Linked DNA regions of Oryzias latipes. The protein of the gene in region 6 purifies or fractionates together with the protein of the main gene of each other region. This does not show direct contact. Links are inferred from orthologs where the notes say so. Each region holds a gene or a part of one and is shown on either strand. Other genes may lie near its edges. The genes, in order: sart3, mepce, patl1, wdr77, prmt5 and lsm4.

Region 1 (3,468 bases), on a different chromosome or scaffold from region 6:
TGATGATGACAACGACCACGACCGCCTCGCGCTTCACCTTAGGTCTTCCTGAACGATATGTAACAAGACGGACATCTTTGACGGTGCCCTGTTGTTTGCAGATTTCCTCCAGCTGCTCTTTTGTGCACGAGAGCGGCAGCCCAGAGATGAAGATTTTGTGTTTCTCCAATGACGTGTTGTATTTGAAGATCTACAAAAAATAGACGAAAAAAACAAGTGTTCACCTATTGGCACACAATTTTACAAATAAAAAAAGCTGAAAAAAATATATATATACCACGTTTAAAAAGAAATTATTAACGTTTTATCAACAAATCTTAAAAACACTTAATATTAAACAATATTAGAACAAGCTGAAAAAGTATAAGCATCTAAAATAGTTTCATTTACTACAAGGAAACTAATAGCTTGAAAAAACATCTGATGTGTGTTTTTACAAACCTTAAAGTCTGGATTTTTGTTTTTATCTACACACGGTGAAACAAACATGGGCCTCCCCTCCACCTCCCGTCTGTCCAGCTTCAAAGCTTCAGTAACGGATGCTGGAGATTCAAACTGTACGTAGCAGTATCCTCTGAAGACTCCTCTGTGGCCGAAGATGGGGCGAACCTGGGCGATGGAACCGCAGCTCTCAAACAGCGCTTTGAGCGTTGCCTCTGGCTCCTGCAGCGTGAATGCCAGGTTACTGATGAACACGCTGCAGCAGTCGTCTCGGAGCTCAGACTTGTCGTCGATCTGCTTCTCCGCAGCGTCCCCGTGTCCAGGCGGGACTTTCTTCAGGCCGGCTGAAGGTTTAGTTCTGGGAGCGTTCCTTCCAAAGAGCCCGGTCTCCGTCTCCATGTACTCGTCTGTAGTGCCGTCTACATTCCCTCTGCGCCTTTTAGGCCCTTACAACATCATGGAAAAGAGAAACTTTGTGACAACATTGTCAAAACATTAAGTTATTTTTCCTTAAAATAACCTTTACCCGAGTCTTTGTTCCATTCATCCTGATCCTCTTGTTCTGCTTTTCTCTTCTCACCAGCTCCCCTCTGATCCTTTTTCAGACCCTTCTTTTCTGCCTTGACCTTCCGACGCTGCTCAACTCGTTCCTCCTCTTGGCGAGCCTGGTTGGCTTCTTTCTCAGCAGCCTGATTTTTGGAGGTTATGATCCGGATATGCTAACATTAGCTCCATGCGATGCTACCATCCTGTCCAACACACATCAACACCTTCCTACCTTGGCTCGTTGCTCATTAATCCGGTTCATCCTGGACTCAGTTTTCTGCACCGCTGTGTCCCAGTCCTCCAATGAACCTGGATGGAACCTTTATATAATTAATAACTCAATCTCTAACAGCTATGAGATCTTTAGTTTATCTGTTAGATAGTTCATCTCATATACCACTAACTGTATTTAACTTAATAAAGCAACAGAGTTGATTATATAATGCTGACATGAGATTGGAGGTGTAAAATTGTGTTACCATGAGACTCACCTTCTACCCTTTCAAAGGTGAGCAGGACGTCACAGACGTGTTCCGGATAGTCGGTGGTGCACTGAACTGCTCTGTGGAGAGCTTTCCGGCAGTGAACAGAGTCCCCATAAGATCTATGGTTTTCAGAGAAAGCTTCTTGTCACTGCTGCAAAGTGTTTTTCTCTCTGGATTTGGGGGATTACCAAACAAACCTTTCAAGATTGTAGTATTCCAACCACATGTTGGCATATTTGGAGTTCCCCTTAGTCATGATGTTATCCCACAGCTCTCGGGCTTTTTGCATGTTCTTGCAGTGGAGGGCCTGGTGAGGAACAGAAAAAGAATTTAATGCCAAATTAAAATCCCAAAATTTGAAAGATACTGTTCAAATATTCCAATCAAAACTTCCTGCTTCATTTTTCAACAACCAAATTCTCAGCTTTCACTTAATTTATCTTAAATTGTTTTATAGAATTCTCTTGGTTAAGACTTGAGTCCTATTTTATTTTTACCACCAATATAATATAATTTAAGATTTCACACTTGAATCTGGTTTAAGCAGTAGCACCAGTTACCTCTATCCTTGCCCAAATCTGCATGACGACACAGGAAGGGTCTCCACTTTCCCCAAATCCTGAATTTACACCGAAATATAAGTTAGTGATGAAAAAAGCTAAATGAGAACTTCAACTGACAAAATAAAGTAAATAAACAATAGATTTACTTACTTTCTTCAACATCTTGTTTCATGTAGTCTAAGCATCTAGAGAAGGCCTCTCGTAACTCCTCCAATTCTTTGCTTGATTCTAAAGAAAGAGTTTAAATGATTCCAATTTCTTATTTTACCAAATGTGACGAACACAGCAGCTCTCACCTTTACTGAAATCCACGCGCCTCCTCAGGTAGTCCAGGTACACCTGCCAGATTTCCACATAGTCTGTTGCTTGAATGAAGCCTGCATTCAGTGCTTTCTCAAAAACATCTGAACAAAAGACAAAAGAAGAAAATGAAACTCAAACACACAAATAAACTAACTGTCCCCATTAACACACACGTGCTTCCTCAACTTTAATAACTCAGCATCTTTGTAAAGAATTAAACATTTACAGCTTTTTTTCTAATATGTATATAGAAATAATAGAAAAAAAATTACTATTTGTTAACTTTAGCAAGTAACCAAATATTCTTTTATTTTGACTAGGGCTGGGCTATAAGGCCTAAAAATAAAATCTCAGATTTGATTTGATTTCCGATTTTCGGCTACAGTTAGCTGTTTTTTTGGTCACCGCGGTTTTGTTCGCCTCAGAGAGACTGGCCTTTTTCATATTCCGCTGGATGTCTCTGTTCCAGGTGTTGGAATAGGATTGTGGTGCTGCTGCCTTTGACTGCGATGGGCTTTAGGCAAGTGTTGCAGCATGGGGGGGGGTCTCTTCCTCCACGTCTGTGGCAGCAAACCCATACCAGTTCCAAACAACAGATGATTTTATTCCTTTCTTGGGAACAAACTTCCCACTCTCACCGGTAGCCATGTTGCCGCTTGCTGTTTCGTGGTGCTATGATGTTGTTGTTTGTCGCTTGTCATACTGCCGTGTGAATTAACGCTACAGAAGCTCCGGGGAGCCAAAAATGCACCGTTGCAAAAAAACTCAATTTAGTTATTTTTTAAATCACCCGTAACAAAAAATTCGAATTAATTCATTCGATTTTTCTCCCTAAATGAAAATTTCAAGGAAAAAAACATTTTCTTTAACAACTTTTTTCTCCTCCACTGTTTAAAACCATTTTAATAAGGAATTAAAAGTTAGTCATCACACATGTGGTAAATGTCACAGGTAATCAAACTGGTACCTGACACAGTGTGATGGTCTGCTCCATGCCTCTCTAAAGCCAGCAGGTAGCTCTTCCACAGACTCATGGTCCAGGGGCAGTTCCTAACAGCCCGCTCATGAGTGGACAGAACCAAGTCTTTAACCTTCAGCTGGCGATCCTAAAAGATCAAAAATAAAAGACA
Region 2 (5,294 bases), on a different chromosome or scaffold from region 6:
TTAAAAAACGCGTAAAAATTAAATTCTGAAAGAACATCCAGTGTTAAACGCAGGATAAAACTGTTTAGAAAAATGGTAAAAAAAAAAGATTTGATCGCCCCCTTGTGGCCATTCAGAAAACAGATGTAAAAGGTCACTGAAGCAACATCAAGGTGTCCATGATGGCAGTCATATCTCACACTAACACCCAAATAGACTTAAATACCAGAAATACTTCATAATTGTGTTGGAAATATGAAGTATGTAGAAGAAAACAACCCTAAAGCTTATGTGTACAACTGTAGTTGTACACTTTCATTTGACCTACAACAATAAAAATACATAACATGTAGAGTACAAAAAAACATGCTACTGCAAGAAAGAATAGTTTATTGTAGTCATTGATTTTTTTTCTTTCATTTACCTGTTACTGTACCTTCCATATATTTTGCCAATTTGTTTTTAAAAAAATAACTATTTTGATTTTACCCTCAACGTAATAAAGGCTGTAAGACAGAAAATCACATGGCTTGATCTATAAACAGTTGAGAGTGATGATTTTCAATCAAAATACAGGGAGAGCTTTGTGTAGCAAATGCAAAAAAAAGGGTTTGGAAGAAAAAAAAACAAGTTATTCAAAGCAAATATTTAATGTTTTCATTTGCTACTTAGAAAGTTGTGCTTGTGTTAGCATGAATATCACTTCATGCGTGGTAAAATGAAAAATTAATTGTGGTCATTTAATTTAGAAATAGCTGTTACATCAGCTAAATGTCAAATTTGAGACACTTTTTAAAAATGTGTTAAAATGTCTTTTGGCTTCAAACTAAGCATTTCAGGCTGCTAACTGTAATGAATTTGCTTGAAAGTGTTGAAATTTGCTGCCGTAAAAGAAAGCTGTTATAAATCAAGAAATAGCCCTTTACAAAAAGAAAACAAATGTAATATAAAATGATGAGAAAGTTCATAACTCCTAAATTCACTTTATTTTCCCAAGTTAGATAGTTACAAATATTACAGGAAACTATTGTACTTTCACAGCTTTGTATCAGACAGCATCTCACAACTGTTTGGCCAATTTCTTATAAGCAGCGATCATGCATTAATGTAAAAGGTTACATCAATCTGAAATTCTGCTAAGAATCTTCCTTTCAAGAAAATCCAAAGTAAAGTTGTGAGCAGGTTACTGAGGAGGCCACTTGTGGATCTGTTCCATGACTTAGAATTAAGCAAAGGTTATTCATTTGACTGCTGCTGCAAAAGATTAAACAAATCTAAACACACACTGTTGAGGTGTTTGACAGTCAGTATTATTTTATACTCTCGTTCAATTACAGATCTGAAATTAAATCTATTACTATTAGAAATTTTGCTTTTTCCAAACTTTTAAGCACTTTATCACATTATTTCACTTAAAGGACGGACAGACAGACAGACAGAAGATAATTAATGGTATTGCTATAATTTTTTTCTCTTGACAATAAGATTTATTTTATGCTTTAAAAAGTGCTACTAATATACTGAAGATGAGAGATTACTGTTAAAATGATGGATGAAGGATGAGGTGGTGGGAGGGTGGTCAGGGCCGCAGAATTGCTCAATGTGGACCTACTTTGTGTTGTTGGGCATCTGTGCCTTTATAGTCCCGTTTTTAGACCAAAACAATGGCCAAGTTTGTTCATTAAAATGTGTTTGCTGACTGTCATTAAAAGTTCCACTCGCTCGCGGCCTCTTCTGGGATTAGGGGTCTGAATCTAATGGCAAAGAGTTCCCACTACCTTGCGCGAGCTCACAGATCTCCGCCCCGGTCACGTTAAGCTTACAACTCGAAGCCCGGATGCGCCGCCATGCCGACTCTCGTCAGCGAATGCTGTCATTTATTCACCAAACTGTCCGCCTGGAGTTGACCGAACAAGTCGACAAGGCAGTGGGGGAAACAAGAGAGACCTAGTGGGGTACAGGCCGTGCTTTGCGTGTAAACCGTGAGCGCCGTTGGGCTCGGAGACACTGGGGTGCTAGCTAGGCTAACGTTAGCTTGAGTGGAAGCAGAGCGGGGTGGAGACGGCCCGGCCGGAGGCGGGGAGAGCACCACCGCGGGGTGACACTGGGATCCTGACGGTGACCACACTGTTCGGCGGCCATCTGGGACATAGTATCACTTTCCCGTACCGGACTTGGGATTTGTTTGTTTATTTTTGTTCTGGATTCACCCGTCAGCGCATGAAGGTGGGTACTTGGTCGTTTATTTATCACCACTGTTGCTCCAGAGCTAAACGTTTAGGCGACGTTTTCAGAGCTCTGGCCCACGATGGAGGAGCTAAGGGCTAGCATGCTAACCCAAACTACTGTTCCAGACTCTGACTCAGAAACTTCTCAGGTCAGCAACCTCCGAGTGGACACGCTTCAGATGTCAGCCTGTCAGGAGGGCAATGCTAACGAAAAATCTGCCGCGGACCGTAGGACCTTTAAAATTAATATAATAAAATGCAACACTCAGCTAAAAACAAAGTAATTTATTTACTATTAAGAAAATTATATGTTTTATATATTCAATATGCCCGGATTCTCCTTTATGATTTTATTTGCTGTTCGTTTTGTCCATCTTATTACTTTCCTGACTTAATTATGGAGGCCAGAATCTGCACACTGACTCCCCAGATGACTTTTAATGCATGCAACCATAAAGAACAGATTGAAGTTTCCTTAAAACAATGTCGATGAATCTCAAATCAATTCTTTTTTTTTTTATCAATCATAGATAATGCAGTTTGCATGATTTTAAAATAAGGCTAAAACCGAAAACACTGAAAATCCAAATATTTTGTTTGGATTTTTTTGCAAATGACATCATCATGACAATATCCTACAGTTTTATAAAACCACTTTCTGAGAACTTCAAACTTTAGTTTTGGTAACATCCAAATCTATTTTTTTAATGTAAAGCTGATAATGAATTATGAAGTTGCAGAAATGTTTATCCAGGAAGTTGTAGATATACAAATATAGGATTGTCATCTTTTTTTTTTTTTTTTTTAAAAGTTAACTCTTCAATTGAAAACAACAACAAAAGCATTAACCTTTCTTTTAGGCTCTAAACAGTAGGAATAGTGGAAGAACAAACATGTTTCTTCTACACAGGCACAAAAACAATAGCAACAACAATAGCAACGTCACATCTTAAAGGTGTATTTTTGGTTTTGGAGAATATGATGACCTTCTGTCCCTTCTCTGTTAGTTTAAGTTTGAATGTAGTTTTGTTAGGAAGTGCATGAGGAATATTTGTGCCTTCTAATCAGGTGGCACAAATGCTATAAACCTTATGTATCTCTGATAAGGTAGAGCAGCAGAGACGGGTGGAACCTCCCTCTATATGCTACCATGAACCAAGCAGGAACAGTGTGGTTAAAAAAGAAAGATGTTTTGTCTGTACTAGCATTTTTGACCAAAGCATGTTGCAGATGACATCCCAAATTATGATTTTACTTATTTAAAGTCTATTTTAAAAAGTGTTCTCAGTGGTCTTTTAATTAAAATTTTGTCGTTTTTAGTCCAAAAAAAAACAACCTATATCATTATCTAGGATGAATAAATTTGTTGCTTGTCGTTGTAGGTTTCACATCACAGCTTCAAGCTTTTTCCAATGGCATTTTTCATCTGCCCCTGATTTGGAACAACTGGAATAAAGGAACACTCAGAAACAAAATTTTTAGCTATATTGTCTTTATACTTGTCCTCCATTGTTAGAAAAACGCCACAAAAACTTTCATCAGATTAGGTATTTAAAGTTTTTGTTGGCAAAAACATCAATTATCATTGTCTTTTTTTTTTGCATTCTTTGTAATGCAATTAAACAAAAATCTACCTATCGGTTGTTTTGGCACTTTTTTGGAACTTAATTTAATGTTTACGGTGTTTTATTCAAGGGATTATAAGAGATCAGATGGTCCTTTAACAGCTGTATTCTTCCTTGTTTTCAGACAAAGGACAAACAAGTTTCAATGAACAGTTCTGGAAACTAACAGAGATGTCTGTCGAGGAGGACGCCATAAAAACTGGCAGTTTAGAGGCCAGGTCAACGCCATCTCTGCAGCTCTCAGACTGTACTGGAGGTTACAGCAGTGTGTCCGTGATGATGGAGGAAAATGCAGCCACGCATGACTTTGCAGCTGCCTGTCCTGTCCCGGGCACTGCAGCCTCACCAAAGCACACGAGCACAGACAGCGCGGGACAAAAAGCCAGAGGGAGCGAGAACAGCATCAATCGCAGGAACAGCTTCCCTCACTCCAAACAACAGCAACAGCAAACGAAATTAACCAAGCGGCGCTACACAGCCAGTTCTAACTTCAAACATCCCACATCGAGCAAGAGGAGACGAAGAGCCATCTCCGAGAGTGACTCTGTCCTGCCCACCAACTTTCTCTTGGGTGGCAACATTTTTGACCCGCTTAATCTGAACAGCCTCCTGGATGAGGAGGTCAACAGGGCACTTAACGCAGAGACACCAAAATCCTCTCCACTTCCTGCAAAGAGTCGAGATCCAGTGGAGATCCTCATTCCGAGAGATATAACTGATCCTCTGAACCTGAACAGCGGGATAGCAGACAACTGCTTTTTGGTGTCCCCCTACAAGAGCGGAGGAAGAAGAAGGCATCGCAACAGACATCATGGTGGGGGTGGTGGAGGAGGCGGAGTTGGTAGTGGGATTCCAATAACGCAGGCGAACCACTCCGAATCGACAAAAAGTGAGGTCAAAATGAGCTCCTCCACACAACTTTTAGGTACGCAAGGCTCTTGTTCGGTTCTCGATTCTTCTAAAGAGTCCATGAGTTTCTCTAGTGTCACGGCAGATTCCCACGAGAGCACAGCTGAGAACGCAGCAAGCGGCAAAGATGAGACGCTGTTTGTACCTGTCGAAGAATATACCTGCCCCCTGTCGGGGGGGCCAAGCCACCACGCCGGAAGACGCAGACGAAGGCGCAACTCAGGCAAAATTGATCCTCCTGTCACCCATTCTACTCCCAGCGGTAAATTAGCACCAAATGACAAAAGTTGTGGTACAGGCGGAGCACAAAATTATTTTCACACACCAAAAATTGGTCCCAAAACTGGAGGGGGGTCACGTTCGTACCAGCAACCTCACAGTCAGGCAAAAGGACACCAAAAGAAGTTCCAGTATGGAAACTACAATAAATATTATGGTTATCGCAACCCGGGCAACAGTGAAGACCCGCGTGTTCGTGTATTGCGTCCGGAGTGGTTTGAAGGTAAAGATGTGCTGGACTTGGGGTGCAATTCAGGTCACTTAACACTCTACA
Region 3 (4,089 bases), on a different chromosome or scaffold from region 6:
GCCGCTGACCCACCCCACCCCCATGGAAAGACGGCGTGAAAGCGAACCCTGCTAACTGAAGCAGTGGGTGTGTGTGGGAGGGAGGGGCTGTCAAAAACAGAACCGCAGGTGGGGGGGGGGGCAGCCCCACCCATCTGCCAATCAAAAAGGGTTTTATTCTGTCTTTTCAGAAGCTGAACCAAAGACTCCGCCCACAAACTTCAGATTCTCCGTCCACCTCGGGTCCTTCAGAATTAGCTTAGGAAAATAAAAGCTTTGACACCCATTTTTACAAAATAAAAGTCTTGAGAGCACATCTGAAGGGGGGGTTACCTGATCCTGCTTGTCCTTCTTGGCCAAGACGGGGAGGTTGCGGGCGATCGCCATGACGACGGCAGCGGCCTGGGGTGCAGGCAGGAAGGGGAGGAGCCTACCCATGAGGCGCTTGCCTTTCCTCACCGACATGATCATCACGCACAGGTCGTCGCTCACTCTGAAAGAGAGGGTAACGTGTCAGCCACGCCCCCACCCTGCAGCCACGCCCCCTCCCCCACACACCTGTGCTCCCAGTCCTTGTCCCGCAGGGCGGCGCTCAGCTGCTCCGTGTTGGTCTTGTGCTGCTCCAACAGGGCCGAACGCTCCTCCTCGGGGGTCTGCACGAAGCGCTTCTCGAAGTCCTGGACCTCCAGCAGCAGGCTGAACATCTGCAGACGAGGGGGGGCGGGGTCAGAGCAGAGCCTCACCTGCAGACGTGCACGCGTACGTGTACTACCTTCTCCACCGTGTACAGGATCTGCCGCCGTTTGTTCCACACCTGCTTCTCCCTCTTCTCCTGCGGGGGAAAGACAGAGCGTCACAAACCGACCCCCCCACCGTGAAGGAGGCATCGATGAAGCGGGAACCTCATCGTCCGAGCGGCTCGTCACCACGGCGTCGATCATCTTTCGGGGGTTGTTGACGCTGGAGACCGTCAGCTTCCCCAGAGAGCCTGCAAACTGAACTGTGGACAGAGGGGGGTCAGGGGGGATGCGTGCTGCCTGAGGAGGGGGGAAGGGCTGGGGGTGCTCACCTGGCCTGTAGGTGTGCTCCACCTTGGCGACCTGCGGCGTGATGAGCTTGGTGGCGTGCTCCTTCCTGCTGCTGCTGTCCTGCTCCTTCTCCTGACGCTTCTCCATTTTCTCGTAGTAATTCTGCAGAACCAACATCCGCCAGTCAACCTTCAGGGGGCGGGGCTAAGAACACCTGATCACTCCAGACACTGAAAACGATCGGATTCCCGCCAGACAGGAAGGTGACTTTGGTAATCACGCAGGGAGAGGTTCAGGTTTTCCAGGAAGTTCCCATGTCTGAAGCGGGGGAGGCCCCCAGGTGCCCCAGCGGGGGCCGTGGTGGTGGTAGTGGGGCGGTGCTGCCTCACCTGGTAGTAGTAGTCGTCCAGGTAGGGGTCGGTGCTTTGCAGCTGCATCATCTGGATCTTGGTGACCCACTCCTTCTCCTTCTGGCTCATCAGGTTGCTGTAGGGATCTCTGGGGCGCCGGTCCCCCGCGGTCCTGCCTCGGTCCCTATGGGGGCCCCAAACACACAGGTGAGCCGTCAAACGCCCGCAGTCACAGGCGGGGGCGGGGCTGGCAGACTCACCCCCCGCGGCTCTGCAGCCGCTGAGTGAGCAGGCGGCGGTGCTGCGGGTGCAGGTGGGTGGTGTTGTGCCGGATGGGGGGTATGGGCGGGGGCGGGCCCATTCTGTGGCCGTGTGGAGGAGGAGGGCCCCCAAAAAACGGTCTGAAACCGCCGCCCGGCAACAAGGGAGGGCCGGGACCACCACGATGAAAACCTGCAACCTGAAAATAAACAGGACGTTAAAATGTAACCCCCCCCCTCATCACAGGAGGATTGTGTTTGTGCCCCCCCCCTGCTGGTCAGGGGGGGTGATGAAGGTTTGAGGCTGTCAGGGAGGTGTTTGAATTGAATTGACCCAACCCTGGATTTGAACCCTCACCCTCCCGGAGACTCCATCCCCTCCTCACTTGTTCGTGGGGGTGTCGAGTGTGCATGTGCGTGTGCACGGTCGGTACCTGAGAGTTCAGCAGCTGGGCTCTCTGGATCTGGGACAGGACTCTGGGGGGGAACGGGCCGCGGCACAGCGGGGAGTTCTGCAGACACAAGACGTGACGGTTAAGGAGGGGAGCGTGACTGCGCAGACAGACAGACGGGCGGGGGGCACTCACTGCTATGTTGAGGAGGGTGTTGGGGGACAAGCGCTCGGGGAAGGGAGGGGGGTATCTGTGCTGGAGCGGAGCGCGCACGTGAACCGCCGTGGGGTGGTGGATCTACGGACACAGAGAGGCTCACCAGGACCCCTTCTTGGGGGGGCAGGGTTTCAGAAATGTTTGACGCTTCGCTCACCTGATGATTCAGGGCGTGGCTCATGGGCTGCTTGGGCGGAGTCCCTATTGGCACCGCCCTCACAGGAGGTGAGCCAATAACAGGGGAGGAGGAGCGTGGGGGCGGGACCCTCTCGGAGAGGTCCCACCCCTCCTCGGTCCTGCCCTGCAGAGGTCGTTTGGGAAGCCCCACCTCCTTGATGATGGACATGAGTGGGCTGTCCTGGGGGGGCACAGATCAGCCATTTGAGGCGCTGCAGGCGCATTTAAAAGAAAAGGGCGTCGGCTTTCCTCACCTCCATGTGTGCGGCCAAGGCGGGCGGGACGCCGACCGGTCCGAACCCCAGGCTGCTGTCCCAGATGCTGTGAGAGTTCATCTGAGGTCACAGGAAGACACGTTACAGCTGATCAAAACACGGCGAGCTGAGAGGGAGCGCAGGAAAACACGCCTCACCTGCGGCGTGGGGGCGGGGCCTCGGAGCAACAGCTGCTGCTGGTAGCTGAGCATGGACGCGGCGGGCGGCGCTGTGGCAGAAACATAAACTGAACGTCACAGCAGGTTTTTCCGCGAAGAAGAAAACCTTGGGAGGCGTGGAACCAGGGGAACCACCTGGGGAGGATCTGCGCAGACGCTGCTCACCTGTGACTCCGGGCGGCTTCTGGGGGGGGCGCGGCTGCTGCAGGCCGTGCAGGCTGGGAGAGGGGCGGGGCTTCTCTGCCGCTCCGACCCCGGCGATGGCGGGATCCGCCTCCAAGATGAGGCGGGCCACGGACTCGGCCAGCTCCCCCCCACCTGCTCGCTCGTCCGCATCTGCAGAGGAAAACGAGGAACGTCAGAACGCAGAAGGCCTGCGGGGCGAGGGAGGGGCAACCACACGACCTCGAGGAGGAAGGTCAGCAGAAGACGAGGAGAAGCCCAGGGAGGACGGGAGGGAGGGAGGGTCTGCAGAGGAGGGCGGGGGCTCTGCGCCTCCTGGCTCCGCCTCCTCCGGCTGCGCCGCTCCATGTTCGTCACGCTCGTCGAGCTCAGCCAGCCGCTTGTGCTCCTCCTGCCAGTCGTCATCTGGAAGAGGAGGAGCAGGAGAACAACATGATGAAGAACCAGAGGTGGGCGGGGCGACACGTCAGGCGCCGTCTTCAGTCTGAAACCCCCTCCTCTCTGAACTCCTCTGAATCTGCGGCTCCCAGCTGAGGTCTGACGCCTCCTCAGCTGCTCCTCGTGATAGAGGGGGGAGCAGAGAGGAGCCCATTCAGAAGCTCCCCCCTGAAAGGGGGAGGACGCTCCGAATGCTGAGGCTGAAACCGAGGTAAAGCCGGCGCTCAGACCGTCTGAGGATCTGAGTCCTGAACCCATGTCCTGATCGGGGATCAATAACGGTTTATCAGGAAAAAAGGCTTAAGCTAGTTTCCATTTGACAACCTGGACTTTTGAAACATGATCAGTAACTGATCAATCATATTGATCTCTGAGGCTAACCTTAAAGAAAACACAAAGATCCTGAAGTCCGACTCACCGATGGCTCCAGCTCCAAAGGTGTCATCGTTGAACTGATCAATTTCATCTTCCTCCTCTACCAGTCCATCGTCTTCCTCCTCCAGCGTACAGTCGTCATCCAGGGACTGCAGGAGGAAGAAACGAGACGTCAAACTCCACGGAGGAATGATGCAGATGCTCCGGTTCTCCGCCTGACCAACATCCCTGAGCTCCACCTCTATGCCGACGACTCTC
Region 4 (5,164 bases), on a different chromosome or scaffold from region 6:
ACATTTCTGGTTTGTTTTTAGCTTCAGCAGAACACCATTGCTCATGCAAACTGTGCATCTTTGGGGGATCATCGATTTTCTAAAATAATAAAACACGTTTAGGGGATAACAATAGTCATAGTTGTTTGTTTTCTTTATAAAAACTATAAGATAAAATTTCAATAGAAATTTTAAAATAGAAATAACGTTAGGAATCCCACTAGGTTATGCCTAAATCTTACCAGCACTATTTACAAACGTACAAAAAACTTGTTTTTTATTAAATAGGCTATAATAAATGAAGGTAAATCTGCAAGACATAAAAACTGAACAGAATGAATAAATAAGAATAGTTTAAAATATATACTTACAATTTTTTATGTTGACCATCACATAAAGAAAAAAACAAATATTTGTGCAAAACAGCAGAAATTGATCCTTGTGAGCCACAAGTGATTCTCGTGCTCCTTCTCATATGTAAAAACTTAAAATTTATCAAACAATAATCACAGAGATGCTACGCTCTAGCACATATGTGTATGCGGGCTCACTGTGTCCTAATGAACACAATTAAAAAACTTTGTGTTTTCTTGGTGTACATAGCACAAAGCTACAGCTTACAGCCCTCAATACAATTGACCTGTCATGCTTTACAAATGTATAACTTCTATACCATATAATCCAGATCGTTTTTAAATTTTCTGCATCCTTATGTAATTTCTTTGGGGATTTTTGGGAATGTATAAATGAAAGCTTTGTACATTTGTTTACTGACAATTCCTAAAATTATCCATTTCAGACCCCAGCTGGGTCCTTTTATTTATGCGTTTTACACGAACACGCTTCATGGAATTGTTTTATGACTTAATAGTCCTTTAGGTGTCTGTGTGCATGCCTGTGGGACCCTGCAACAGACTGGTGACCTGTTCAGGGTGTACCTCACCTTTTCCCAACAGTAGCAGGATAGGCTCCAGCAACCTCACGACTGCAAAATGGATTCAGCCGGTTCTGAAGATGGATGGATGGATGGCTGGACTTTGTGTTGAATTTTCCACCATGTCATTGCTGTCCCAACCTCTTTGTTCTGAATGGATGGGCAGTAAATGAATTTCATACTTATTTCTCAGTTAGAAAGACACCTCAATTTTTGCTTCCAGATCATGTTAACATCCCAAAGTACAGGAAACTCAGTCACTGTAAGCTGTTCGAGTCACAGGGGTGGCACAATTAATCGACTTAATCGATTTGCTTTCCTACGATTCAACCAGATTGATCTGTCTGAGGCTAGTTGTTAATCAAATTGACTTATTCAACTACATCTGCTGGAACAAGTACTCAGATAAAACCAAGCAACACATTTTTTTTAAACGTGGATAATTTATTTTAAACAAAACATTTTAAAACCTGGTTAGATCCCGTCACATTTCACACTCACAATAAATCATCATTGCCCACCACCAACCCGCGCCTGTGCCAGACCAAACACACCCACTAATACAGAAAGCTCTCATATTGATTGAAATGAAGCCTTGTAGTTCACCTTCTCTGCCCGCAGGGGGCAGTGCAGACGGGAAACGCACAAGAGGAAAAGAACAATAAACACCAACGAAGAAGTCCTCCAAACGCCTAAGGGACCTTTTCCCCACCGGTCCCACGTGTTTAATGCATTATTATTTCGTTGTCATTCATTCGGGACGCGAAAACGTATCCATTGTTTTCGCTAGAAATGTTATTTTAAGCTCGTATGCGTTTTAGGTGTATATTTCTATTTTGCCTAAACAGAAAATACGAGCTTTTCTTTGGCCGCAGCTAGCTTAGCTAGCGTTAACGGTTGTGTAGCTGATTTGCGGACAACCACATCTGAATTAGTGGGAAACTAGACTAAAGTTTGCTTTTTGGATGAACAGTGCAGTCGACACAAATATGATCAAGGAAAATCGGTGGAATATTCCCCCAAACGCTCCGGCGTGCATGGAGAAGCATCTGTGCGCGGCTCAGTACCGAGCAGGTAGGAAGAGAGAAGGCGCTAACCGTGGGTCACAGGCATAAACCACGTGCTTTTCATTTATGGGACTGGGGGTTTGTTGGTGTCCTGATATATTCAGCTCAGTTCTTTAGTTCGGCTGTAAACTGGTGTGTAACCTTTAGAAACGCTGCTTCCCACGTTCGTGCTGTGTCCTCTGCAGACGGCACGCTGCTCCTGGGCGCCTCCAGCCTCTCGGGCAGGACCTGGCAGGGGTCTGTGTGGATCTACAGGGAGCCTGAGCAGGCCCCCAGTGAGGGCTTCTGCAGGGCTGGCGTGCAGACGGAGGCAGGGATCACTGATGTCAAATGGGTCACTGAGAAGGCCATTGTTGCTGCTTCAGATTCAGGTGCGTCTCAAATGATCCTGACAACTAAAAACTCAATGTTCAATACTTTACAAACATTCTGCTATAACTTAAACTGGCTTTTCCTTCAAATGTAAGAACATATTCATTTGCTGTTTTACATTATTTTAAGTATTTATCCTTTTTCCACATTTTTATCTGTCTTTTTTAACTCATTTTTACTTTATTCTCATCTAATAAGTTTTATTTATCTTCGTATTAATCCCTGATTTTACCTTATATATTTTATTTCTTTAACATTTTGTTGCAAAATTCATGTTTTCCTCAGAGGGATGTTTTAAGTGAAACGTTTTTATTTTTAAATTGAACGCACTTTGTTTTACTGATGTATGACAGGTGCTTTATAAATAAAGTTTAATTTGATTTGAACTGTGGAACAAACATCCCATGGAGCCAGTCGGGCCGCAGGATTATGGCCAAGGGACGGATTTTCTAAGTTCTCAGATTTTTCCAGTAATAATTGCATATTTTATATCGGATTATAGAACTTTATTAACTTAGCCAGAATTCTCCCCAATAATATTATTATTTATTAACATTTAGATGTCATAGTATTTCTTCTCCTTTCTTTCTTTTGGCTTCATTTGTATTTTCCATTTGTTTTTTTTCCTCCAACATTTTTAGTGAATCAGAATAACAGTTCAGTGATTGCATCTACGCCTGTTTGTCCCTTAGCAGCCTCCGTCCTGCATCTTTGTTTAATGGAATCAGGTCTGTCACTGAATTAAATATTAGGCTGTCATCCGTGTGTAAGAAAAATGTACTTCTAAGTGTGTTGGGACAGATTGACATCAGTAGACAGGGATGCAGTGTTCTGTTGGTTGGCAGGATTGTGTTTGGACAGAACTGCTTCTTGTCCTCAGGTGCTCTAGAGCTCTGGGATTTGGCAGAAGATGAGCGGCTGCTGGTTAGTCGCTTCACCAAACACGAGCACGACCACATCGTGACGACCGTGAGCCCCACTGGAGCAACCGGCGCCGTCACCGGCAGCATGGACTGCAGGTCAGACTGCCGTGTCTGTTAGACCGCTGAAACGTTAGTATCCACTCAGAACTCTGAGGGTTTGATGTGATGTCAGTTCACCCCTTACTGCTACAACTACTTCCACTATGGGTTCATATCAGGATCAGCTTAGTGAATGAAAAACCAGATTGTAAATAAATAAAAAAAGATCATTTGAAAAGTTTTAAGCTCAAAAGAACATTAGGATGTGTTCAGACTGGACACTTTTGGTCCGTTTCAAGTGAACCAGAGTTTGTTTCTCTCAATAATCCGGACCAAATTTTCAGTCTGAATCCCCCCAAGTGGACCCTCATCGTCGTACCTTCGTACCATCTTCTTGCCAGTAAGCGTCTTGCAGGATGCCTCCGCCGTACCAAAGGAGCAGTAAAAAGAATTGTTCCTGATGTTAATACAGGCGCCAAAAACGAATGAGCGAAATATAAAGTTTTATTAAGTGAACCATCCCGACAAGGATTGCAAACTGGAGGACTTCCGTAGTTTCTGTCTCTAGTTGCTTTGCCCCGCCCTCGTAATTCCTGGCCTGTGGGTGAAGAGGCGCTTGACGGGAGCCTGAATACAGACCAGATGCAAGGTTCAGGCCTCGATCCATACCAAATGATTTTTCCAGTCTGAATACACACCAACACAATATTGAAACATTACAAATTGTAAAATAGAAGCTTGAATTAAAACAAATCTAGGCTAGTGCTTCTTCACCAGTCTGGTGTTCTTGTCCGTATGAACTTTGCTTTCTGAAGTGCAGTCGTGTTGAAACAGCAGAGATTCATCCTCTAACTCATCAGACTTGTGGGTAAATCGTGGGCCATCAAAAAAAACATTAGATAAAAATATGTTTTAAAAAATCTGTCTGCAAATAATCCTCCTCAGCATTTGACTGACATGCAGAACGGCCAACCGAACATCCTCTGATACATACATCCGCCATCATCCGGGTGTCATGACATCACAATCATTTCACTGACAGCCGACTGGAAGATTTAGGAGCGTGGAAATGTTGTGACTCGGATATTTTTCCTAAAATAAATGAATTCTCTTCAATGCAGGATTAAAGTGTGGGATCTCAGTCAGGAAGCAGCTGTGACCACCTACAACAGTAAGAGAGCCTTCAGTGGCAAAGCACTCCTGTTTATGCTTTTGACCAGGAGTGTAAATGATGATTTTTAAGTCGAGTTGTGTGTTAGAAGTGTATCAACGGTGGTGTTTGCAGAAGGACAAACACTTTCTCTCTCTCCGTCCAGTTCACACTCGGCCCGTCAGCTGTGTGACCTGCAGCCCAACAGATCCGTCCCTCTTCGTCTCCTGTGGCCAAGTATGAAATGATGTCTTCTGTCAGCATGTGGTCATTCGGGCTCCTGGGGATCCTTTTCTTTCCTCCCACGGGGCTTGACGAGTTGCTTAGATTCTTCTGGCTTCTGTGGTTTTTCAGATTTGTTTTCTGCAGGCTGTCAGTCAGCAGCCGCATGTTTTTCTCTTTCTGTGACGGTGAAGAGTTTGATCGTTTCTGTCACCAGGACTTCACAAATTAATAGGATGAATACATTTTACTGTGTCAAAAATAGTGACCTAATATCCTGTTAAAAGGTTGATGGGAGCCGAGCAGAACTCCTCAACCATTTTGTTGATGGAGTAAAAAGAACAAGATTTTATTTCAAATCAAATCAAAATTTACATTAAATGAAAAATAAGTCTACGCACGACTTAAAAAATACGATTTGAAAGTGAAATGGAAGAAGCTTATGCTTATAAGAATCCAATCCCCCACTCAACAACAC
Region 5 (5,153 bases), on a different chromosome or scaffold from region 6:
TGGTTCCATGGAGAAACTCTATTTTCCTCTCAACGCCATCATCGTCTCCGGCCAGCATCGGATTTTTAACGGAAAAACTGACACTGTCCCCCGGTGCAGCATCGCAGTCCGCTCCGCTCTGTCCCGGTCCACAGTTAAAACCAAACGGCTGACGAAAATCCAATGAAAAATCCGCACATTCACTGCTCAATACACTAGCTAGAGCCATCTTGGAGACAATCAGATGAACAAGCAGCTTCCGCTGTGTGGAACATTTTAATAAACATGGGAGCTGTTCCTACACAGCGCCCCCTGTGGCCGTGGAGGATAACTTGCAGTTAAAACAAACGACTAAACAGCATCCCAATCAAACTTTATGATGTCAAAATTGACAAATTTATACAAAGAAAAAATGTGGTTTCATTGCATTATTTTGGCAGCTTTTTTAGTTTTTACATCCATTTTCTTGCCTCTCTTTTCCATGTCTCTGTAATATTCTTCCTTCAGGTCTTCCCTTTGTCTCTGTCTCCACCCCTCGGCTGTGACATGGAAAAGGTCCACATTGTTTCCCGAGTAAGCATCCCTGTGAGTGGCCCTGAATACCGCTTCTCTTGCCAACAAGATTGCTTCTTCTTTATTCAAACTCCAACTCAGACTCCTATCCAAGACTCCGTAGGCATAAGGTGAACCTGATCCCACAGAGAAGATGTCTCCCTGCAGTCTGGCTCCATCGCTGCACACGTAAATAAGCTTTGGGCCACTAAAGCACAGCAGATTTGTTTTTGAAGGAACGTCTTTACAAACAGATGGCGAGCAATCGTCAGTCACACCTAAGGTTTCTTCCAAGTTCTTGGTACTTTCCGCCTTATCCCAGCCACACAGGGTGAGAGCCACACATACATCAGTGCCTTTAAAAGGGTGCAGCATTAATGAAAGGAGTTTGGCAGTCCCACGTATTGAGAGGCGACGCTTGTGCCGCAGTTGATAGAGTCTGATTTCTCTAGTGAGGATGCGCTCCCACAGCATGCAGTCTGCACCGCTGCCCGAGGAGGTGACCACCAAATGGGAGTGAATAGGGGTTATCTTGTGAACAGCTGGACAAGCCACAAGTCCCCCAGCACTGGCACGTGTGTCTGCAGCTGCAATCACCCCACCTTGGAAGATAAAACCCAGAGTTGTCGTTCCATGCGAAAGAGGAAAAGGCCTGCGCACCGACACTGAATGGCTCGCTCGGCTGGAAGGCCTCTTGAACAAAGATGGTACATGAAACTCCAGTGGAACATCAGAGGCTTTTTTAGATGTCATCTCCCCTCTCCATTTAAAGTTTAAAGATTCAGTAAAAACAGAGACACTTGTATCTTCCGAAGCATAAAAAGGAAAAGTCTTATGCGTGGGCTTGTCTTTAAAATTGCAAATATCTTCCAAAGCCATAAATATTGAGTAAGATGCTCAATTCTGACCTTAAAATTATTAGTCTTCCTTTCAATTATAAAGTAAGATCGATTATTTCTCTACACAGATTGAAAAGCTTGCATGGAATTTAAAAAAATATGCTAAATCGACCTAAACACAGCCGGGGCAGGGCAGGGATCACAACCTTGTGCCTGTTGATCTTCTCAGCATTGGGTGCATTTACCCCTTTTATACCTCCTGCAGCTGTGACAGCTTGCATAAAGCTGCCACCTGCCCAGACAGAGTTGGAGTCACTGAAAGTGATCCTGTAACCTGTAGCTGTTAATTTGATCTGCTGCGAAGCCGTTTTCTGCTAATCATACATCTTTTAAATGTGCTCTGATGATGCTTGTAAATATTTCACCCCATTAGCTTTTAATCTTCTTTTATTTTTATTTTATTTTTTTAAATATCTACCATCAATTTATTACTGTTAACATGTTTTTTTCATTTAATTTCTTCCATAACGAGTCTCGCGATATTTTGTTTAATGCAACTAACGTCCTGGCGGCGCCATTTTGGTTCTTTCATGCGTAACTATGCATTCAGAACGATGATCTTCGTGGATCCAAGATGGCACCAGTTTCCTTAAGCCTCAGAAAGAAGAGTCTTCTCAATCAGTCGACAGAAGTCATGGCGTCCGCCAGTACAGGCAGCAGGGTGTCCTGCGGGAGAGATATGAACTGTGTTCCGGAGATAGCTGCCACGTTAGCCGCGGTCGCGAAACTTGGGTGAAGTTGGCATTTTTGTGTCTTATAAAAAAAGTGTTTGGATCAAATGAGGAAAACTAGCGTGCTTGCTTGTTAGCATGACTAAGGCTAAGCTAGCCGGCAAGGTATCAACACGTGCAGAATGAAAGGATGCTCTGCTTTTGGATTCAAGTGTTAAACTAAAGTGTTCCTTTGGTTTTGTTATTGGCATATCTCGTTTTTTTTAATTTAACACGTATATAAGACGCGTTTGTTTCTCCTTTGTATAGTATCGTAACCGCATTGTTCATACTAGTGTTTTCCCTTATGATCTGTGTGTGCAGGTTCGATTTCCTTTGCATGCCTTTATTCCATCCGAGATTCGCAAGGGAGTTTGAGTTGGAGCCAGCTAAATCTCGGCCCGGTGCACAGACCCGCTCCGATCTGCTGCTGTGTGGAAGAGGTAAGTGTTTTTAATAAGTCATCTACATCTCAGGGTGTTACTTATGAACAACGTGTGTTCAGAACAAGGCCCGTTTCCATTGTCACGTGTGTGGGCTGGGTGGGTATATGAACAATCTCTGAGATCATTTTAAATATTAAAGAGTTTAAAATAAAAACTAAAAAAAGTCAGGAATGTAGTTTTGTGGTTTGCAGCAGTTATGGTCTCCAACCCTGGTCCTAAAGACCTTCATGATCCCCACTTTGCAGCTGATTACCTGGACCAGGTGATGTTAGAATGTCCCCTCTCCAGCTAATCAGTAGCTAGGATATGTCTGGGAAAGCTAACAGGGTGGTCGTGGTAAACCTTAATGACCAGAGATCATGGAGACCTTTGTAATTCCAGGTTAACAGAAATGTTAGGTGTAAAAGCAAAGCTGCACATTAAATTATTAATGTGCAGCTTTGTAAATTTACAAGGAAAGATGGAGATAAAAAAACAAACAAGTCACTATACTCGCTTGTAATTAAGACAGGGTTAAAATATGTTAAGCAATGTGTAATTTGGCCATGTGTATTATGTGTGGCCAACATGAATTTCCATCAGTTTTTGTGCTCGATCACACCTAAATACGTGCGAATGACATCGGCCTATACAAAAAAAGTGTTGCAGTCTGTTTTGAAGCCACAAGTTAATTAAACGCAGGAGCCATTTGGCTTCAAGCTAGAGGTGAAACATGCCCAAAAGAGAGAAATAAAGATTGGGACAACTGTCACTCAAAGGTGGAGGAATCTTTTTCTTTAAAATAACAAGAATGTGTGTCACATCTATCATCTTAGAAATTGTAAAAGTTTAAAAACTTTAAAGTCCCACTCTGATCATCTTTTTTTAGCTATTGTAAAAGCGTTCCCAGTGGTCTTTTAATTATGACAATGCCGTTTTTAGCCAGAATAATTATCGCTTTCTAGGATGTAGTTTCTGCATTGCAGCAGTAGTTCATTAGAAATTTGTCTCTGAATTGCGGGTAGTACCGTTGGAGTGGAGTGAGGCCGCCCCCACTTCCCGTCACCCTTCTGTTAACACTCTCTCTTGCTAGCTTACATTAAAGCTGCAGTAAAAATGGCGAGCATTATTGGAGCTGTCCAGCCGTACAGTTTTGAACCAGACGCCAGGTCAGACAAGGGAAACAAAGACGTACGTGGATCTGTTTGTCTGCAAGTGGAATCATCAGAATGGAGCAGAGCAGGGAGCTTGTGGCACGCCCATTGTAGCTTCCATGTTACTGCTCCAAGCTTTTTCTAACTGCTTTTTTTGTGGGATCCTGATTCACAACAATTTGAATAAAGAAATACTCAAAAAAATGCAATTTTAAGTTTAATATTTAAAATATATGTCCTCCATCGTGAGAACATGCTACAAGAACAAGTTAAAAACACGATTTTCATCAGAGTTGTGTTTTAATGTAAGAGTTAAGTTTTCACCAAGAAAAGGATGCGGGCTGACATCACCTCAATTTTTGGGACAACACGTCAATGTAAAGGCCTGTTCACACCGGGACGAATTTCGCCCGCGATTTTCGCCGACGTTTAACGCCTCGTGACTAAACAAAGGGCACCAATGTGAGTGTGCACACCGACGCGAAAAACCGCCACACGTCAAAGCGTCACTTTTTAAAAAACGCCTCGGGTTCGTTTTTTTGGTTTGACGCGCCGCGTCGAAAACTACACGACCAATGAGAATGGCGCTTTTGCACACGTGTCTGGAGCTTCTGAAGTTACAGTAAAACACAACTTGGGGGCGCTCAAACATTAAACTGCCTTTCTGAGCACACATGCCAGCGAAGAAGATAGACGCCAAGTAGCGTCTACACTGCCACAACGAAATAATGACGGACATTTTAAAATATCCCCGAACCAAGCACCAGTTGGAGCAACTGGTGCTTGAAATATTCATGTTTTCTTTGTATTATTCTGACAAGTGCGTAAATACTTGCTCTCTTCTTCTGAGTGAAAAGCGACTTTAAGAAGCGTAAAGTTGCGCAGCGCCACCTTGTGTACAGGAGTATTTCTGTTTACATTAAGCGCCATCTAATGTCAGGGAATGAAATTGCAGGTTCACTCGGCTCATCGTCAGCGAAAATCGCCTGGGTGTGAACACAAAAAACGTGGCGAATAACGCTGGCGAATAACGCCTGGCGAATATTCGTCCCGGTGTGTACGGGCCTTAAGGTTGGGGTCATCTGGACGCCATAGGATATGTGGTGATGCTGGTCCCCGCCTGTGATGCTGCATTTGGCTGGTTATGCAGCTATTCACAGAAAAGGAACGTCCCAAATATTAGCCTCTCCTACTGCTGACATCGCCTATCCCCATCAGGAAGGTGTGAAAGGGGAGGGGGCTCTATTTTAATATTCATGCTTGTTTTTATGTTTTATTTTAATGTAAAGCACTTTGTGTTTTTGTTTTTATAGGAAAAGTGCCATTTAAAAATAAAGCTTGATCGCGATTTGCCTTTCAAAGCAAGGCGGCAACAGTCAAGCATTAAAAAAAAATAAAACACTCAAACGGAAGTGATCTATGTAAATTTTACTG
Region 6 (5,405 bases):
TCATGAGCCTGAACTTGTGTTGATGCTTTAAATAGGATACAGGACATGCTAAACAGGAACAGAGGTCTTTACACTCTGCAATCAAATAGTAATTTTACTATAACAATTTCAGTGCTTCATTTCTTCAAACTGATCTTTAAACAAAAAGTTTCAGGTGTAACAAACTTTTGGGGCAGTTCCCTAAAAATGAAGACTATTTTATACATACATGGTCTTTAACAAAAACTGCTTTATTGTTTCTCATGTCATTACAATAATATTCATCACTATAAAAATAAAGAGTTTTTCAAACAAAAATTCTTATGGTCAAATCGTGTCACTTATCTGTGACTGGATGTCAGCTGACTATCAGCTTAGATTGGCTAATGAGGAGTGAAAGACAGAAACAAACCCACACCAACCATGTCACTCAACAACTAGAATAGAAATGAAGAGAATTCTGGGGCTGGAATATTGTCTATCATGAAATCTACCCCTAAAGAAAAAGACATCCAAATATAAACAATTTGACACTTCCAATTGTACCAACAGATTACTTTTGTGACTAAAAAGGGGTTTTCATGACAAAATATTCTTCTTGAAAGAAAAGAAAAAAAGAAAAAGTATCAGCTCTTGGGTTTTACACAAACATGGTTATTCTTAAAAACCTAAAAAGAAAACTCAGTGCAAAACCACTGCCTCTTTTGAACATCTCAGTGACCTTTTGCAGCGATTGGTTCTCTTACATATCACATATCAGCAAAAAAAGGAGCTGAGAGTTAAATTATCCACAAGTACTGAAACAAAAATAACAGTTAATGTGATGTGAAAGATCCATGACATCACATCAGTGCTGGTTCTTCATTCCCTGCTGTTTGCTTGGTTTTTTATCCGGCTGCTGTGGCTGCTGGCCTCGACCAGGACCTGACATCCCTCTGCCGCGGCTGCCAAACACACCTACATACAGACACAAAAAATGTCAAATTCAGCAAGTTAGAATAATAAATTCCTAAACAAATAAAGATGATGTTTCACCAGATGTGTTTAAAAGCTTTAACAGAGGGATTTTTTACTTATTTTAAGCTGATCTAAGTCTCATTAAGGCAAATCATGACAGAACAAATGCAGAAGTTGCTTCCTCTCACCTCGGCCGGCTCCGCCTCTTCCTTTACCCTGCTGCTTATTCTGCTGGGCACCTCCACGTCCACGACCCTTAGAAACCACCTCATCCTTCACCATGTCAATAATCTCATCTGGAATTCGCAGATACTTGATGGTACTTCCCCTGATGTAGCACTCTGGCATCCTCCAAAACTTATCACCATCCTGTGGGAAAAAGACCAAACGATGAGTGTAACCAGTATACTTCAAAGGGTCTATGCTAAATCCCTTTTTTGAACTTCCCGGTGTATTATAAAGAAACCTCAAACCAGTATTGACCCATTCACGCATTTCTGAGAATTCCTCTAAAAACCTGTGCTCCAGGAACCAGCCACACCTAACCCACAAAAACAAGCGGGTTCTCACGAGCTGATGTAGATAAGTGAGAACAGCCCCTTCCAGGAAGAGTCTGCGCTGCCAGCCCCGCCCCCAGGCTAAAACACACACTCCATGAAGCTAGTGGTGTTTGGCAAAACTCTCTTTACATGCTCAATATGCACATTCATCTTTACGAAAGTTTGAATGTTGTTTGTTTCGTGGGCGAGACACAGACATGTTGTTGATGCTGGCTATAGGTTGACATCATGGAAGTGCCGGTGCCTCAGATCCAGTCGTCTTGCTTCCAGGTTGGAAAATAACTCAGGAAAATAACTAATATTCATTCATCATTTTTTAATTCATCTTCTAAACCCGCTTTGTCCCTTTTGGGGTCACTGGGCTGCCGGGGCCTATCCCAGCTACTCATGGGTGAAGGCAGGGGGCTTCCTGGACAGGACACCAGTCTGTCACAGGTCCACAAATCACTCACCCATGCACACTTGCATTCACACTTATGGACAATTTAAGGTAACCAATTAACCTACGAAGGTGGGAGTCCCCGGAGAAAACCCACGTATGCACGGGGAGAACATGCAAACTCCACACAGACAGGTTCTTTTTCAGGTCCCCCAGCCAAGTCTTGGACCTGGCTGGGCTTGCAGTTGGCTGGGGGACCAACAGCAACCAAGTCCCCAAAACTTGGCTGGGGGATCTTGCGCTAACCACTGCGCCACGTAACTAATATTTAATTTAAAAAATCTTTCTTTTGTGGGCCAAAGGTAATATATATATGGATATTCTTTACCATGAATGGTTTAGGAATAGCATGGTACAGGGCCTTTAACAATAATCAGTCCTTTTTCTTCTAACAAAAAAAATTAGCGTTGAGGTTTTTGTTCCAACATGTATCAAAGGATGTTTTACTAAAACCATTGCTTCATTATACATTAGTCTTTATATTTTAAAGGCTCACTTCAATTATCTTTTGATCTATTCCCAGTATTTTGATTTTGTTTTTTTTCATTATGCAGCTTTAAGCCAAAATGAAAAACTTGTCTTGTTTTCTAGGACAGTTTCTGCAGAGTGACAGAAGTTCATTAGAAATATACCTAAAAAAGCCTGCCGCATTTTCCAAGGTCCCTTTGTTTCCACTCTCCTGCTAGCTTACACACCCTCATACCCCCAATCTAACACCAAGTGCAAGAAAATTGGTGGGGAATGTTGAAGCTATACAGACGTACAGTTTAAAGCCAGATGCCAGCTCAGACGAGGAAAACCAAGACGTAAATGGATCTAATTGCCTACAAACTTTCTTTATATATGTCCGTCATTATGAGAAAAATGCCACAAAACATGTTAAAAACCAAACCAAACAAATACACTATTTTAATTGGGGTGGGTCTTTAAACGGCTAAGGTAGTCAGAATGAAAACTGAAGGAAACAGGTAAGCGACTGTTAAATTTAAGCTAATTTTTTTTATTTAAGGTGTGCAGTTTATGGATCGTTCTCCACTGAGAACATGAGAGCAAATCTGTTACCCTGGATGTGCAGATGACTTCTCTCAAGTTGATGTTCATCCAGTTGTCACAGCTAACCAGATGACCGTTGTAGGTTTCTCCATTCTTCAGTTCAACCAGCTGAAAAAAATCAAAGTTCATTGAAAAAAAGGTCAGCTGGTGATTATGGTTTTCTAAAAGGTTCTTTCTTTATTCAAAAAGAAATGCACAAAAATTATTGTTTAAAGAAAAACATGCAAACAATCTCAATAACAAAACAAAAAACCTGATCTTAAAACCACAAGTAACTGAATAAAATGGTTTAACCAGTAATCACCAGATAAGGAATAGAAGGAGGAAAGAAAAGCAATTATTTCTTACCATAGGATGGTTCTGGGCCGTCTTCAAAAGGGACAAGGGAAGCTGCGAAATAGTAGAAATGGGTCCGATTTATGATCTCTATGATATATTAAAATAATGCATTCTAAAAGGAATATTGATTCAGAAATGAAGAACACGTCTGAATGTATTTCTGTGTCGGCGGAGAAACTTAAGCTCTGTTCCGAACTATAATGATTCGTTTGTGTTTAGTTTAGTACTAAACGTGTATCTGAAATGGTGACCCCCCCCCCTTATATATTTATATAGAAAATAATTTTAAAAAGAACCACTTGTATAGTCAGCGTTCCACAAGCAGAAAACAATTTAGCATTGGTTGCTAGCGTAGCTTAGCCTTGATTTGCGATGTTTAAACCAGTTACATGGGATTTTTGAAGCCAAAGAACAGGTCAGTATTTTTATATAGTGTGTGATTTTTACAAAATAGTCCATTTGTAAGTAATAACTTACCATTCTGGTAGGTTATGTTTGTGCTGCCTTAGATTAGCAACACGATTTTTACTCGCAGACTCTTCTTCGTTTTCTACGTACTCGGTGCCACGTCTTATTAAAACATGACTGCCCCCTAGCGCAAAACATGCGCAAACACAGGAGCATTTTCTTTTGTTCTTTTACTGTGACGAAATTCAAAAATAAATACAGAGGACCAAGTGTAACATCTATCTATCAAACACAGGAGCATTTTCTTTTGTTCTTTTACTGTGACGAAATTCAAAAATAAATACAGAGGACCAAGTGTAACATCTATCTATCTATCTATCTATCTATCTATCTATCTATCTATCTATCTATCTATCTATCTATCTATCTATCTATCTATCTATCTATCTATCTATCTATCTATCTATCTATCTATCTATCTATCTATCTATCTATCTATCTATCTATCTATCTATCTATCTATCTATCTATCTATCTATCTATCTATCTATCTATCTATCTATCTATCTATCTATCTATCTATCTATCTATCTATCTATCCATCCATCTATCTATCCATCCATCCATCCATCCATCCATCCATCCATCCATCCATCCATCCATCCATCCATCCATCCATCCATCTATCTATCTATCTATCTATCTATCTATCTATCTATCTATCTATCTATCTATCTATCTATCTATCTATCTATCTATCTATCTATCTATCTATCTATCTATCTATCTATCTATCTATCTATCTATCTATCTATCTATCTATCTATCTATACACAAACATTTCCTTCAAAGCATAAAACCGCTTAATAATATCTTATAGCAAAATCCTGTGTCTCAAATTTCAGATTGTACCATTGCTGATTAGTTCGCATTAGGTATGAGTGTCTAGACTAAACATAATACAGTAATTTTTTCTTCATTTTCAGTGAAATGCATTTTTATTCCTTAAATTAGTACAGAATAAAATTAAAAAAAATAATGATGATAAAATGAGGATAATAGAGAAGAAAGAGAAGAATAATATTGAATAGATCACTGCCACAACTCCTTGTATTATAAAAAAGGAAAAGCTGGAATTTTGTTGCGTGTACATGTGACACAGTGACAATAAAATAAGTCTATTCTATTCTATTCTGTTCTATTCTATTTTATGATTAAGGTCTGTCTGGTTTTGGTAAAGTCTAAATAAATGTGACAGTGGTTTAAAAAATAATAATTTTTTTCATTACCAAATGGATTCATGTAATTGAATTACGTGAATCCTTATATAATTTGACCAACACGTTCATATTTTTGCTGGTGCAATTTTTGCAACAACTAATTTATAGCTTGGTACTTAATTAAAGTCTTATTTTATGATAAAACACAGGCAAGACAATTGGTTGTATTAAAATAGGATATTTGTGTAGTTTTTATTTATTTATTTTTTCTTTTTGTTTTTTCCCTAAGTTGACATTTCTCAGCCACCGTAGCCGTCATTCCGTTGATGGCGTCATTACGTTGGGTTTGACGCAGCGTGCAGGATGAGAGAGAACGGCAGGTTTCTTTTGATTGTGGGAGAAGGAGTCGTCAGCTGTGAGGGTCTCCGGCTGTTTAAGAGGATCTGTTTC

What was found.
Region 1: the proteins of lsm4 (region 6) and sart3 purify together in Homo sapiens (affinity purification with mass spectrometry; 4 studies listed by BioGRID and IntAct, counting the BioPlex papers as one, with this or other methods). This does not show direct contact. The link is inferred for Oryzias latipes from reciprocal best matches to the Homo sapiens genes LSM4 and SART3.
Region 2: the proteins of lsm4 (region 6) and mepce purify together in Homo sapiens (affinity purification with mass spectrometry; 3 studies listed by BioGRID and IntAct, with this or other methods). This does not show direct contact. The link is inferred for Oryzias latipes from reciprocal best matches to the Homo sapiens genes LSM4 and MEPCE.
Region 3: the proteins of lsm4 (region 6) and patl1 purify together in Homo sapiens (co-immunoprecipitation; 4 studies listed by BioGRID and IntAct, with this or other methods). This does not show direct contact. The link is inferred for Oryzias latipes from reciprocal best matches to the Homo sapiens genes LSM4 and PATL1.
Region 4: the proteins of lsm4 (region 6) and wdr77 purify together in Homo sapiens (affinity purification with mass spectrometry; 3 studies listed by BioGRID and IntAct, with this or other methods). This does not show direct contact. The link is inferred for Oryzias latipes from reciprocal best matches to the Homo sapiens genes LSM4 and WDR77.
Region 5: the proteins of lsm4 (region 6) and prmt5 purify together in Homo sapiens (co-immunoprecipitation; 3 studies listed by BioGRID and IntAct, with this or other methods). This does not show direct contact. The link is inferred for Oryzias latipes from reciprocal best matches to the Homo sapiens genes LSM4 and PRMT5.

What each region holds. Positions count from the first base shown.
Region 1 is NC_019867.2:12,882,562-12,886,029, forward strand, and holds part of sart3 (squamous cell carcinoma antigen recognized by T-cells 3), read right to left. Parts: intron 3,445-3,468; coding exon 3,306-3,444; intron 2,440-3,305; coding exon 2,332-2,439; intron 2,264-2,331; coding exon 2,186-2,263; intron 2,092-2,185; coding exon 2,033-2,091; intron 1,780-2,032; coding exon 1,670-1,779; intron 1,592-1,669; coding exon 1,479-1,591; intron 1,297-1,478; coding exon 1,220-1,296; intron 1,131-1,219; coding exon 968-1,130; intron 888-967; coding exon 442-887; intron 191-441; coding exon 38-190; intron 1-37. UniProt on the Homo sapiens protein: U6 snRNP-binding protein that functions as a recycling factor of the splicing machinery. Promotes the initial reassembly of U4 and U6 snRNPs following their ejection from the spliceosome during its maturation.
Region 2 is NC_019872.2:14,592,033-14,597,326, reverse strand, and holds the start of mepce (7SK snRNA methylphosphate capping enzyme), read left to right. Parts: upstream 1-1,730; 5' UTR 1,731-2,205; intron 2,206-3,956; 5' UTR 3,957-4,003; coding exon 4,004-5,294. UniProt on the Homo sapiens protein: S-adenosyl-L-methionine-dependent methyltransferase that adds a methylphosphate cap at the 5'-end of 7SK snRNA (7SK RNA), leading to stabilize it.
Region 3 is NC_019859.2:1,012,167-1,016,255, forward strand, and holds part of patl1 (protein PAT1 homolog 1), read right to left. Parts: intron 3,981-4,089; coding exon 3,875-3,980; intron 3,424-3,874; coding exon 3,241-3,423; intron 3,172-3,240; coding exon 3,001-3,171; intron 2,886-3,000; coding exon 2,815-2,885; intron 2,738-2,814; coding exon 2,657-2,737; intron 2,584-2,656; coding exon 2,383-2,583; intron 2,307-2,382; coding exon 2,205-2,306; intron 2,130-2,204; coding exon 2,052-2,129; intron 1,818-2,051; coding exon 1,618-1,817; intron 1,542-1,617; coding exon 1,397-1,541; intron 1,170-1,396; coding exon 1,049-1,169; intron 980-1,048; coding exon 882-979; intron 812-881; coding exon 752-811; intron 684-751; coding exon 538-683; intron 473-537; coding exon 313-472; intron 1-312. UniProt on the Homo sapiens protein: RNA-binding protein involved in deadenylation-dependent decapping of mRNAs, leading to the degradation of mRNAs. Acts as a scaffold protein that connects deadenylation and decapping machinery.
Region 4 is NC_019863.2:2,525,570-2,530,733, reverse strand, and holds the start of wdr77 (methylosome protein 50), read left to right. Parts: upstream 1-1,570; 5' UTR 1,571-1,878; coding exon 1,879-1,987; intron 1,988-2,165; coding exon 2,166-2,351; intron 2,352-3,232; coding exon 3,233-3,371; intron 3,372-4,435; coding exon 4,436-4,485; intron 4,486-4,630; coding exon 4,631-4,701; intron 4,702-5,164. UniProt on the Homo sapiens protein: Non-catalytic component of the methylosome complex, composed of PRMT5, WDR77 and CLNS1A, which modifies specific arginines to dimethylarginines in several spliceosomal Sm proteins and histones.
Region 5 is NC_019875.2:17,819,025-17,824,177, reverse strand, and holds the start of prmt5 (protein arginine N-methyltransferase 5), read left to right. Parts: upstream 1-2,055; 5' UTR 2,056-2,064; coding exon 2,065-2,162; intron 2,163-2,464; coding exon 2,465-2,583; intron 2,584-5,153. Other genes in the region: proteasome subunit beta type-5-like, read right to left, coding at 1-208; proteasome subunit beta type-11, read right to left, coding at 400-1,410. UniProt on the Homo sapiens protein: Arginine methyltransferase that can both catalyze the formation of omega-N monomethylarginine (MMA) and symmetrical dimethylarginine (sDMA), with a preference for the formation of MMA.
Region 6 is NC_019862.2:13,833,374-13,838,778, forward strand, and holds lsm4 (U6 snRNA-associated Sm-like protein LSm4), read right to left. Parts: upstream 3,928-5,405; 5' UTR 3,808-3,927; coding exon 3,805-3,807; intron 3,379-3,804; coding exon 3,337-3,378; intron 3,097-3,336; coding exon 2,998-3,096; intron 1,306-2,997; coding exon 1,125-1,305; intron 937-1,124; coding exon 827-936; 3' UTR 210-826; downstream 1-209. UniProt on the Homo sapiens protein: Plays a role in pre-mRNA splicing as component of the U4/U6-U5 tri-snRNP complex that is involved in spliceosome assembly, and as component of the precatalytic spliceosome (spliceosome B complex).